Linked DNA regions of Arabidopsis thaliana. The protein of the gene in region 2 purifies or fractionates together with the protein of the main gene of each other region. This does not show direct contact. Each region holds a gene or a part of one and is shown on either strand. Other genes may lie near its edges.

Evidence for each region.
Region 1: the proteins of AT3G02760 (region 2) and ALATS fractionate together in Arabidopsis thaliana (co-fractionation; one large-scale study listed by BioGRID). This does not show direct contact.

Annotation. Positions count from the first base shown.
Region 1 is NC_003070.9:18,592,475-18,600,181, reverse strand, and holds the start of ALATS (Alanyl-tRNA synthetase), read left to right. Parts: upstream 1-1,702; 5' UTR 1,703-1,870; coding exon 1,871-2,165; intron 2,166-2,430; coding exon 2,431-2,669; intron 2,670-2,974; coding exon 2,975-3,115; intron 3,116-3,467; coding exon 3,468-3,614; intron 3,615-3,821; coding exon 3,822-3,974; intron 3,975-4,364; coding exon 4,365-4,494; intron 4,495-4,745; coding exon 4,746-4,842; intron 4,843-5,000; coding exon 5,001-5,121; intron 5,122-5,436; coding exon 5,437-5,496; intron 5,497-5,594; coding exon 5,595-5,645; intron 5,646-5,714; coding exon 5,715-5,810; intron 5,811-5,935; coding exon 5,936-6,037; intron 6,038-6,183; coding exon 6,184-6,306; intron 6,307-6,678; coding exon 6,679-6,822; intron 6,823-6,909; coding exon 6,910-6,981; intron 6,982-7,071; coding exon 7,072-7,147; intron 7,148-7,228; coding exon 7,229-7,371; intron 7,372-7,455; coding exon 7,456-7,564; intron 7,565-7,651; coding exon 7,652-7,707.
Region 2 is NC_003074.8:596,588-602,469, forward strand, and holds AT3G02760 (Class II aaRS and biotin synthetases superfamily protein), read right to left. Parts: upstream 4,197-5,882; 5' UTR 4,064-4,196; coding exon 2,714-4,063; intron 2,640-2,713; coding exon 2,460-2,639; intron 2,370-2,459; coding exon 2,112-2,369; intron 2,029-2,111; coding exon 1,615-2,028; intron 1,536-1,614; coding exon 1,395-1,535; intron 1,310-1,394; coding exon 1,001-1,309; 3' UTR 518-1,000; downstream 1-517. Other genes in the region: AT3G02770 (Ribonuclease E inhibitor RraA/Dimethylmenaquinone methyltransferase), read right to left, coding at 4,430-4,746, 5,114-5,297.

The DNA of each region.
Region 1 (7,707 bases), on a different chromosome or scaffold from region 2:
CTTTTTATAAGCTTTTAAAATCCCTTGTAAATCATTCAATGCCACTTACTTATGCTTTAAAAACGATTGTAAATCATGTTTTACCCTTTTATAAGCTTTTAAAATCCCTTGTAAATCATTCAATGCCACTTACTTATGCTTTAAAAACGATTGTAAATCATGTTTTACCCTTTTATAAGCTTTTAAAATCCCTTGTAAATCATTCAATGCCACTTACTTATGCTTAAAAAACGATTGTAAACCATGCTAACCTTTTTTAAATCCCTTGTAAATCATTTTATGCCACTTACTTATGCTTTAAAACGATTGTAAATCATGTTTTACCCTTTTATAAGTTTTCAAAATCCCTTGTAAATCATTCAATGCCACTTACTTATGCTTAAAAAACGATTGTAAATCTTGTAAAACTATTGTAAAAAGTTTTAAAATGATTTACAAAGGTTTAAAAAGGGGTTTTAAAGTATTTACCTATGTTTTTAAAGACTTTATAAAGATTTTAAGAGGTTTTAAAATGATTTACAAGGGTTTTTAGCAATTACCAAAGATTTTAAAAAACTTTACAAGGTTTTTTAAAAGAGTTTTTAAAAAATTTACAAGGATTTTTAAAAGCATTTTTTTTGCTGGGAAACAAAATTTACGAGAAAAAATTTTGGCGGGAAATTTATTTTTGGCGGGATTTTTTTTTTTTTGGCGGGAAAAAAAGGTTTGGAGGTGTTCTTCAATGAATAGGGGTGCTTGATGAGGCTTGTATTAAATGGTAGAAGTCCATGGAGAAATCGAAGTGTTCAAAATCGGAGGTGTTCTTCAATGGAAGCTTTACTATGGAAATGTTTTGTTTCGTTAAAGATGAAGAAGAAGAACTTTAAGCGTATATAAGTATCTGTGTTTGTATAGAATGACAGAGAAATCTTTGCAGGTAGAGTGGTCAAATGACCTTTGATTTTTCTCAAATGATAGGGGTTCGAATCCCAGGTCTGTCATTTCTTTTTAAAGAAAAACGAAAACGACGTCGTTTAGAATGGTTAATGGAGGTGTTAACGGGAGTTGAATAATCCGTTAACGACTAATTTTTTTGGCCTGGTCAATAAAATATTCATGGTTTAAATGGTGATCAACGATAACTTCATGTTTAAAATGACCATATATAAAGTTAACGTATAAAACTGTCATAATTTGAAAGTTGAGGTATTAAATAACATTTTTCCCTTTTAATAACTGTAACCAATATGTAACAGAAATCCATCCAACCCAATTTGATCAATAGCGTAAAAACTCATTATTGTTATAAAATTTTAGGTAGTTTACATCAAAATAATATCATTCATTTTTTATACTATAAAAATAGTATTTAGATTAATATTTAACAAGAATAAGAATAATTTTTATATATAGATCATATCAATCCACATAATAAAAAGAGAAAAACTCAAATATGAAAAAAATTCAAGTAACAAAAATATATTAGAATTACATTTGGTTGATTGGAAAAAAAAAAATTACGTGTAAAACTATAGTATTATCTGAGAAACGAATACAAAAATTTGCAACAGTAGCAGCAAAACAAATTCAAAACTTGCGGCAACGACAACAGCAACAACAACAACGAAACAAACAATAACATGCGAGGCAGTCTCACGGCTAGTGGCAGCAAACCCAACAGTTTATCTAAACGAGAACCAAAATTTACTCTCGTTTTTTTTTTAATGTTATCCTTTGATGAACAAAATGTATTTTCCAAATTTTACTTTTTTTATTTTTTAAGTATTATCCCTTAAAATAATATATCTTGCGGAAAAGGAATCGGATTAAATAAATTTTAACGGTAGAAAATAGGATAGGAGGAGAGAGAGAAGGTCTTTTATTGGTTTGAATGAGATTAGTGAAGGCAGCTTCTCTTCTGATTTCTTCAACCAAACCTCCGTCTAGGGTTTTTTACTCTTCCCATCTCCGCCGCCCTTTTTTCTCTCACTTCCGTTTTTCTTCCTCTTCGTCGACGTCTTCCTCCGTCGCAGTCATGCCGGGTTCCGAACCATCGGAGACTCAGTGGCCAGCAAAGAGAGTCCGGGATACTTATGTCGATTTCTTCAGAGGCAAAGGCCACAAGTTCTGGCCATCAAGCCCCGTTGTTCCTCATAATGATCCTACTCTTCTCTTCGCTAACGCTGGTACGATAACTTCGATTCCTCATATCTGTTTTTGCCGATAAGATTGGGAATTTGTCCAAGTTGATCTATGGAATTCAGATTCTATAGAGTTGACTTATTCTGTCTTCTTTTGTCTTTGAAGCTTTGGGACTTATTCAAATTTCTCAATTTCAGTTTTGGTCGAAATTTTCTGATATTGATACTGAGCTATGTAAATTAAGTTCTCTTGATATGTCTGGCGAAAAATAGAATTATTAATGACATTGAAACTTCTCTGTTTTTCAAGGAATGAACCAGTATAAGCCAATATTTTTGGGTACGGCCGATCCAAATACTGAGCTTAGCAAGCTATCTCGGGCATGTAACACCCAAAAGTGTATTCGTGCTGGTGGAAAGCATAATGATTTGGATGATGTCGGCAAAGATACGTACCATCACACCTTCTTTGAAATGCTTGGTAACTGGTCCTTTGGAGATTATTTCAAGAAGGAAGCTATCGAATGGGCTTGGGAGCTCTTAACCAAGGTAATTAAATACCTGGGAAATTTGTCTCTGTTTACTTGATTTAAGAAAAATATACATGGTATTATTCAGTAAACTATTGTCTCCCTCCCTTGGGACGGTATGTCTCAATTTTGTTAAGTGATTCTTCTCTTTTCATTTGGTTGTACATTTCAGTTTTGTAAAGTGATTCTTCTCTTTTCATTTGGTTGTACATTTCAGTTAGATACCTTGTGACAGTATTTCATAATTTTGTAAAGTTACTATTCTCTTTTCGTTGAGGTTGTTTATTTCATTGAGGTTGATACCTCCCTGTTTTCATGCCTCAGGTCTATGGGCTACCGACTGATCGAATCTACGCTACATATTTTGGCGGTGATGAGAAAGCTGGCCTTCAACCTGATAATGAGGCTAGGGATATATGGTTGAAGGTTCTTCCATCTGGACGTGTGCTGCCATTTGGTTGCAAAGTATGTATTGATTATTTAAGATAATAACTTTTAATCTGTTACCTAATTTTTTTGAATCCACTACTCATTGATTTCCTCTCTCCTGAGGTTACTTCACAAGTACTTCAGCTAAGTTGCCTTTGTATTGTCACCATTGTTTCTTGTATATATTGACACATCTGTTTGTCAATGCTAACGACAACCAACTGTAAGCTTGAATGCATTTTGGCTAGGAATACGCTATCATGTTTGGTAGTTGGCAGGCTTTAAAAACCATTGTTTATGATTTACAGTCAAAATCTTGTACAAAATGTAAAACTTAAGGGTTTTTAAATGCTGTTTTTCTTTCATTTAACTTTTGATTAAACTGCAGGACAATTTCTGGGAAATGGGCGACACAGGTCCGTGTGGACCTTGTACTGAAATACATTATGATCGCATTGGTAACCGTGATGCTGCATCCTTAGTTAACAATGACGATCCAACATGTTTAGAAATATGGAATCTTGTCTTTATTCAGGTACAAACCCTCTCTGTCCCAATTGTTATTTAGTTCCATTTTACTAATCTTTATCTCAATATCACAATTGTTTTAATGATTTTGTAGATTGTGTTACTGAAAACTCTATATTGTGCAGTTAGCTAGATTGTTATTGCTCCTTTAGCTGTGCTATCATATTCCCAATTGTTTCCTCTGACTGGGATGTTACTTATGTCTTCAAAATAGTTCAACCGAGAAAGTGATGGCTCGCTAAAACCTCTGCCTGCTAAGCATGTTGATACCGGGATGGGCTTCGAGAGGTTGACTTCTGTTCTTCAAAACAAAATGAGCAACTATGATACAGATGTGTTCATGCCTATCTTTGATGACATCCAAAAGGTAATTTGTGAAAACTTCTGTTGATGGTTTCATGACAGCTGTTTAATGATGGTTTCATTGAGTTATTTTTGTTTGGCCTCCTCTTAGGGACGCATTTGTCACCTTAATTAGTACTATCATCATTTTAGTTCATCAATTTTGAAGTGGATCATGGGTTCTATGCTTTACGTCGAGACTCCGTCAATTGTTTTTGAATATTTCTGGTTTATTGAATTTGGATTTCATGATAAAGGCATTCTACTATGGGTATCCTGGAGATTATTCGTTGTTAGCTGTGTCACTTTTCATGTATTTTTCTTAGTGAGAGGATTGAAAAAATCTTCAAATTGCTCTGTTTACCCTAGTTGTTGCGAATCTTAAGTTTAGGTGTTGATGCTTTCACTTTTTTAGGCAACGGGAGCTAGGCCATATTCTGGAAAAGTTGGTCCGGAAGATGTTGACAGAGTTGACATGGCATATAGAGTGGTTGCTGATCATATTAGAACCCTATCATTTGCAATTGCGGATGGCTCTCGTCCTGGTATATACTTGGTTTCTTGTCTCAATCACAATTGTGGTGGTTACAGAAAATACAATCGTCTTAGTATTCAATCATTTATTTGAGTTCATACTTATATGTTCTCAGAAAAAGTGTTTTTGGTTCATTTATTCTAAGTTGGGCATGATGAGTTTGTCAATTTTCTTCCTCAGACAATCTGTTATGTTATACAAATAGAGGTTTGTTATTTCTTGTAGTCTAACAAGTACCAATTAATATACTATCTCTTGCAGGTAATGAGGGCCGTGAGTATGTTCTGCGGCGTATTCTTCGTCGAGCGGTTCGCTATGGAAAGGAGATCCTAAAAGCTGAAGAAGGATTTTTCAACGGGTAGGAAATTATGTTTGATTTTCGTTGCATGTTTTGTTTGAATATTGTTTCAAATATTGTTTCGTTGTAGCTGGAACGTTTATTTCTGTCTTGTATCTTTATAAATGAGCATATTTTTTTGACACATGTTTTATCTCGGGCTTTCATATTACCTGTAGGCTTGTAAGTTCTGTCATTCGGGTGATGGGCGATGTCTTTACAGAGTTGAAGGAACATGAGAAAAAGATCACAGATATAATTAAAGAAGAGGAAGCAAGCTTTTGCAAGACCTTGGCAAAGGTAAGGGCTGGATTTAATTTCCGTCAAAGCTTTGAACCTCTTATCTTATTTTGTTTTGGGTTCTTCTGGCTCGTCGCACTGAAGTAAAAGAGACAGTTCACAGCTTCAATCAGTGGCATGTGATATTTCTGTATAGATTGTTTCCAATTTCATCATTGTTCAGTTTTAATGATGGTTAGACATAATTATAGTATTTTCTATAGGGAATCTTTTTTCTGAAAGATGAATTGGCTTTACCTGGTCGTTCCTCCCTTTTTTATGTGAATAGGTGGTGAGTATAAGAACAGTTAGACTGATTATAAATTTTCACGGCAGGGAATTGAGAAATTTCGGAAAGCTGGACAGGCGGTTCAGGGGAATACACTGAGTGGAGATGTACGTATCGAATCATTTTTGTGATGTATGTTAGGCGTTGCAGTATTTTCATCTGGGATGTTTGAATTCTATCTCAACATGTTGTCTTCTCTTTGCAGGATGCTTTTATCTTATGGGATACATATGGTTTCCCGTTAGATTTAACTCAGGTACGTAAGTCATTTATACTTATTTCTGAATGTTCGTGTTATTTTCTAACTTTTATTCTCGGGGTTCAGTTGATGGCTGAAGAAAGAGGGTTACTGGTTGATGTTGATGGTTTCAACAAAGCCATGGAAGAGGCGAGGGAAAGATCGAGAAGTGCCCAGAATAAGGTGTTTCAACTTTCCTCTTGTTTACTTTCTTAAAGAGCGTTTAATGCCAAACTTACGTGTGACTATGAACGAAGTTTGCAATCACATCATCTATTAACCAATCTTTTAATGTCATTTTTTTATAGCAAGCTGGTGGTGCCATTGTTATGGATGCTGATGCTACATCAACATTGCACAAGGCTGGTGTTTCAGCAACAGATGATTCTTTTAAATACATTTGGTTCCAGGTTTGTCCTTTTATTCCAGAAAACTTGCATGTTGCACCTGAAATGTTCTTATGTTGGCGTAGAAATGAAGAAGTTAGGGCATATAATAGTAAATGGATTTTGCTTTAAAGAAACCTTTATTGGTACTCTGCCACATATCGCTGCAGGACCACGAGAGTGAACTAAAGGCAATCTATACTGGCTCTACTTTCCTAGAAAGTTCAGCTGCTAGTGATAACGTGGGACTAGTATTGGGGTCTACAAGCTTCTATGCTGAGCAGGGTGGTCAGGTAATCCATTTTATTTGATATGTATTTTAGTTTGCTAATTGTTTTTCATTTCTGATCATATGACTGGTGGCATGAAATTGCAGTCTTCAGTATGTTCATCTTGGATTTGTATATATATACAAATGTAGACATGGCAGTAACACCATGAACACAATCATATCAGAACTGCATTGTTTGAATTTATGTATCGGCTGGCAAATACCATGATATAGTTATTGTTGGTTTTGCATACTAATTTCTGAAGTTGTCGTTGACAGTCACATAAATATTTTTAGATTTCATATCCATGAACAAGGTTAAGCTTTTGATTCACTTCCAATCATCTATATGTATATAAACTCTGTGCCTCTAACATTTTTTCTCTGGCAATAGATTTTTGACACTGGACTTATAGAAGGCTCGTTTGGGACATTCAATGTATGCAATGTACAAATATTTGGGGGCTTTGTTCTTCACATTGGTTATCTCTCTAAAGAAACTGGAGAGGTATCTGTGGGTGATAAAGTGATTTGCAAGGTAACTCTCTGCATCAAACAGTGTTTGTCTCATTCACCATATTTGGTACTATCCAATTTGTTTCCACCTTCGTTTTCATGCGTATAGGTTGACTATGAGAGGCGTAAACTCATCGCTCCTAATCATACTTGCACACATATGTTGAATTATGCCCTGAAGGTATCCCTTTTCTATAATTTAAGTAACCTAAACTGTGATTTTCTAATTTTTTCTATTGGATCTGAAAATATTCATGTCCCATGAATTCAGGAAGTGCTCGGGGATCATATTGATCAGAAGGGATCAATTGTTCTTCCTGAAAAACTGCGATTTGATTTTTCTCATGGTACATTTTTGAATAAAGTCATTTTTATTTTGATGTGGATGGTCATCTTAATTGTCTGATGGGTTCCATAATTTCGAGTAGGCAAGCCGGTTGATCCTGAAGATTTGAGAAGGATCGAATCCATAGTGAATAAACAGATCAAGGATGAATTAGATGTGTTTTCCAAGGAAGCTGTGCTTTCTGAAGCCAAGCGCATCAAAGGTCTAAGAGCAGTGTTTGGAGAAGTAAGCTGTCCATCAGTTCTGTAGCTATACCTTTTTAGTTTGGTTTCTAAGAATTGTTAAAGCGTTCTCTCTTACTCTTTTTAGGTCTACCCCGATCCCGTCAGAGTGGTGTCAATTGGGAGGAAGGTTGAGGATCTCTTGGCTGATCCTGAAAACAATGAATGGTCATTGCTTTCTTCCGAGTTTTGTGGAGGTCTGTTTCCATTGGCATTAGCTATTGGGACCAAGATATTACGTTCTGAATAGAATGTTGAGTATAGGGTTATTTTGACAATTCCAGGAACCCACATAACAAACACCCGCGAAGCCAAAGCATTTGCTCTTCTATCGGAGGAG
Region 2 (5,882 bases):
TTCTGATGAATCATTATTTTATTATTTTTTACGTATTAATGTATGAAAATATTTATATTTTTTTTGTTTCAGGCTGGCAGAATTAACATGGGCTTGGATAAGACGTTTCTTACACATAATTTTCCGACATCCACTAGAATATCATCAATATATAATATGAAGAATTATTAAAATTGTGAAAATTCAATAAAACAGATCATTTATTTTTAGATCAAAATCATATTTAGGGTCTCACAATCAGTCAATCATCCCATGAGGGTGAGACTCTTTATCAGATTTAATTATTGTATCGCTTAGTAAACTATTGTATATAAAAGAATAACCACCGTGAATTCTTCTTATTTAAGGAACCAAAGAACTCATTGTTTTTTTATATAAATGATCAGTAGGGGATGGTAAATCGCCTGTTTGTTTCTTACCAAATATTTTCAGTAGTTGAATCGAAAATGAGTAGAGACAATAGTCAATGGAAACGTGAGATGTGAATACACAAGTGACCTTAGTTACTTGAAGCCACCACATGTCGGCAGAGAGGTACAGAAACCAACACGTACCATCTTTCTTCCTCTCATCTCATGCAAATGCGATCACACAGATCTGCAGATCACTTTTTTTATTTTTGGAGACAACCTTACCTGTTGTGTTTTATTTTCTCTTTTCGGTCTTATATTCTTCCACCTCATTTCCTACTTATTTTTTCTTTCTTTTTTCTGATAAGATCGCAGATTAGGTTATCAGGGATAAGGATTTTTTTGAAAGAAACGTAATTCTGATAATTGGCTTAACATTTACGTATATCTCCTCTAATTAGTTAAATACGGAAAACTTCATCAACATCAAAATCTCTAAGTTCTTGTCTCCACAATCATGAGTCATGCAAAACACCATTATCAAACAAACCAAGGAAAACAGCAAAAAAGAATGCAAAACACTGTGATTCCTTTTGTCTGGGCATCGAACCAGGAGTGAGTGTGTGTACCTTTCATTTCTTTTCAACGACTCAGAGTAGTTTCTTCAATTCTTCCACGAAACGATCTCTAGTACATGTTTGATCTTCTTTCTCTTCACTTCCCTTCTCGAGCTTCTTCAATGTCACAAAACTTCCACTGAGTTCTTTTTCGCCTACCATCACCATCCAAGGAATCCCTGATTCCTTTGCACGATTGAAATGCTTTTCTTTCCTCTTGCTCACTAGATACTCTGCGTTGATCTTAGCACCCCATAACTGACTTACCAGTTCTGCTGCTTCCGCTAGTTTATTATCCACCATTATACTAACCAACACCTGTGTCTCCGTTGGTCGAATCACCTATATTCATAGCAAATAACACAAACTTCAAAAACCATTCTTTTAAAACAAGGTCGACAAACAGCATAAGGGTTTGGCAAGTTACTTGTTTCTGTTTCTCGTTAAGTTCTTCCATTATGTTAAACACTCTCTCGATTCCCAGGCTCATCCCAACCGCAGGGACTTGCTTTGTTCCAAACATTCCTATAAGGTTATCATATCGCCCACCAGCACCAATTGATCCCACCTGCAGAAAGAAGAATTCAAAGGCCATACACTACAATTTCTTTAATTGAATTGCAGGAAGCCAAAATGCGGGATTTTACCTCTGCTCCTATACAAACAGCTTCAAAGATGACGCCGGTGTAGTAATCAAGACCTCTAGCTAGACTTAGATCAAAGACTATTCTCTCACTGCACTTTGATCTTTTAAGAGCTTCAAACATGATACTCAACTCATCAAGAGCTTCTCTTGATGACTGGTTATCTAAGAACTCACTCCCTTCTTGTCTCAGTTTAGACAACAGCTCCAAAGGAGCTCCCTTCTCCTTAACGAAGTTGCCAATTCTGTCTGCAATCTCTGAAGACAAGCCCTTCTCCTCCACCATTTCTTTCTTCACTTGCTCAAACGATTGCTTGTCTAGCTTGTCGATACTCGAACAGATGGTTCTGAATTTCTCAGGTGGTACTCCACATATCTCCAGCATTCCATCAAGCAACTTGCGGTGATTCAGTTTCACCTATTTAAACAAACCAGAATTAAGAACATAGCCAAAGAAAAAACCAACCAGGAAAGATTAAGACTTTCAACTTAAGTTATTACCTCATAATCTCCTATTTCTAACTCATCGAGGAGTTCAGTTAATATCTTGACAATTTCAAAATCGGGTCCCATTGGTTCGAACAAACCAGCGATATCAAAATCACACTGATAAAACTCTCTGTATCTCCCTTTAGATGGATTATCCCTTCTGTACACCTTTGCTATTTGGTATCTTTTGAATGATGTGATTCCATTCATAGCCACATACCGTGCAAATGGAACAGTTAGATCATATCGTAAAGAGCAAAGCTCTCCACCCTGCAATTAATAGATCCATATGAGCTCAAATTTTGACAAACAAATCATCACATAAACTGATGATATTACAGCAGCCAAGAAGAGTTCTACCTGATCAGCAATATCATAAACCAATTTCGAGTCTTCTCCGTACTTTCCCATAAGGGTCTCTCTCAATTCAAAAACAGGAGTATCAAGTGCAGTTGCACCATGCCTCTTGAAAACGTTTTGTATGATTGAAAAGGCTTTTTCTCGGACTGCCATTTGTTCTTTAGCGAAATCTCGAGTTCCCTGTCATAGAATGAAACAAATCAGAAATTAACTCTGAGGCCTAAACCTTCTCCATATACGAGATTGTAATTTACCTTTGGAAGCTTGGGAAGTCTCCTATTTTCATTACTTTCTACAATCTCTTTCACTTTATCCAACAAGCTATCAAAACTGCGACCCTCTGGGTTGAAAAGATTTAAGATTTGCTCCCCACATTGCATCAATGAATGCATCTGGTCACCATCACTTGCTGCGTCATTACTCACCAATCTATCTTTGATAAACTGGATAACTAGGCTTGTCCCCTTTCCCACAACTGCTTTTTTCTCATTCTTCTTCTTTTTCTTATCGGTCTTCGACTCTTCTTTGTCCGCATCTCCGCTCTTCTGAACAAACAATTCTCCACCAGCAAGAGCAAAAAAGGCAGCAACTGCCTCCAAACCAACAATTCTCCATACAATTCCCAGACACTCATTCAGTTTGTGAGCAAACCTGCAGTAATCCTCTTCCAAATGAGCAGTATAAGCTAACTTATAGCTATTCTTTAGATTCTCATTCTCAACACAGATCTTTTCAGATAAACATTTCTTCAGATTCTCATCCACAATCTTCTCAAAACAAAGCTTAGCACGAAGGAACGAACACACTCCCAAGTTTTTAATCGCCGTTAACAAAGGTAACAATGTTGTTCCTAAAGCCTCACCAATCCCAGTGTTTCCAGACCCAGTTTTGCCTCCTTTAACACCGGAATTCAATTCTCTCCTAGCATCCGCGTGCACGCTTTTCACCACATACCTGAATTTCCCATGAATCCAAGGGATTTTCGAAATCTCTTCTATTTCTAATTTCCCTGTACCTTTATACCCGTTAAGCAAAACCTTGAGATCACCAGCAACACCAATCACATCTTTATCACCATTCCCATCTCCTGAATCCAACAAGCTAAACGAAGCTATATCAGCCTTTGTAACCTCACAACTCAACGCAGCAACAGAATCCACAATCTGTGAAAGAGTCGTCGATTTGTGATCTATAATAGAACAAATCCCAATCAACGAAGCACACGACTTCTCCAACACAATGTTTTCCCCTTCTGTCACATCAATCTCACCCAATTCCAAACTCTCAGCCTTCAAATTCAGAATCTCAACAATCTTAAGCGGAAGAACAGAACGAGCGGTGGATGAAGAAGGAGGACCAGAAGTCGACAAAATAAGCTTGTTTAAGAGAACAGCCAGAGAAGCTCGAGTTTCTTCGTTCGTTAACCCTTGAGGGATACCAAAGGAGCTCCTTTTGATCGATGGAACGTTTCTAGTGGAGAATCTCTCGATCGCAGAAGAGTCAATTCGAACATTAGCGACGCCGGAAGCAACATTGTAAACGGAGGAAGAAGATAAAGAAGAACCTTTCCCTCCGAGAGTGATGGACGATCTCTCCGCCGCCATTATCACACACAGAGCTGAAGCCGGAGTGATTAGGGTTTTCTGTCTTTCGTTGTGTTTGACCTAAAACGAAGCACTGTGAAATTGCAAGAAGGCGGATTTAGAAAATTGGTAAACTGCAAAATGACCCTCGAAGTATCCAGTTATTGGAAATTGATCTACGAAAAATGCTTGTATGGATACTTCAAGGATCTTTTTGCAATTTTCACTTTACGAAATGTTTTTTTTTATCAACTCGAAACGGATTCAATAGTTCAATAATCATATTCAAAGAAGCCAACTTTTACTCTGATAGCCATTACAGAAACACAAAGCACAAAAGTAGTAGCTTACAGATTTTAACAAATCAACAACATCACTTGTGTCCTTTTAAACGGATAATTCAATCTGAGAAACAAGGATACCATCAGTATCTGCATAAAGCCATTCGCCATCGCATATCCGAGTGCCTGCAATGTTCAAAGAGACTCTTTGTTCACCAAGTCCTTTCTTACTAGCCTTTATTGGATGAGAAGCTAAAGCTCTCACTCCAATGTCGCAACCATTGATCTCATCAACGTCTCTGATGCATCCATTCACTATGATCCCTGCCCATCCGTTGTTCTGCGCTTGTACGACCGGGTTTCCTCCTAGTATCGCACAGCGTAAACTCCCTCCACCATCCACCACAAGAACTCTACCATTGCCTGTTTTAACATTTAAAACATTATTGAGCTTTTGATGTGAATGCTACAGAGAACAGATTGGTTTATTGACTCGGGTTTTTGAAAGACCTATCTCGTCTCTAGTATTCAAGAACTTGATTAGCAAAGTGACTGAAGAAGTATATAAACACTGAGCAGTAGTTCTAAATCATAGAGAGATGATCTTAAGACTTCTTCAAACATAGTTTCAAGCAAAGAACAATTGAAACTATTTGACAAGTAAGTAACACAAGAATTGAATCTAAAATGTAACAATACCAATAAACCATGTCAAAGATACTCTGAAAGTTCATAGCTCTACGAGTAAAGTTTCAGTCTTTTGAATTTTATAAGCAAGAATCATTAATACCTTTCTCTTCGAGGAAGTGACGGATTAAGCCATTGTCTTCAAAGACTTTAACAGTAACTACTGGACCTGAAAATATTTGACGACGACCATAAATCTGAAAAACGGGTTGCAGAGCTCGGAGCTGGCCACTTCGAATCATCTCTTGATTCGCGTCACACACTTCCGCAGTGGTCACAAACGCCATTTTTTCTTCTCACCTGAATCAAGAATTATGATCAAAACAAGTAATCTGGGGATTTGATTATATGAGATTTACGAGAAATTACTCAAACACAGAAAGCAAAAGACAAATCGAGATTAGTCTAGATAAAGTGATCATATATATTCTCAGTCAATCAATCAAAACCCAGAAGGAAAGATACACACTTTTCATTCAATTCACAAGAAAACTATTTCAAAATCCATCTGGGTTTTGATCGAATCTTATTTCATTTACCTGGAATAGAAGAAACTAGGACGAAGAAGAGAACTCTGTGTGCGTAAATCTCTGAGAAATGAAGTGATGATAATTTAAAGGAGAACAAAGTCATCAACATACTTGTTTCGGTCGTTCAATAATATTAAATTAGTGACTTTTAACTTTACTTAAATCAGATGGAAGGTGGGTTGTCGTTAAGCTTCGAAAAAAGGAATCTTTGCGTTGCCTTTTCTCTGGTTTCGACTCTGTTTCCTTGTTATCCTTTTCCTCGACGCTTTTTGTACATCTCACAAACTTTGTGACATTCATTCATTAATTAAGATAAAAACGAAAACTTTATTATTGCCTGAG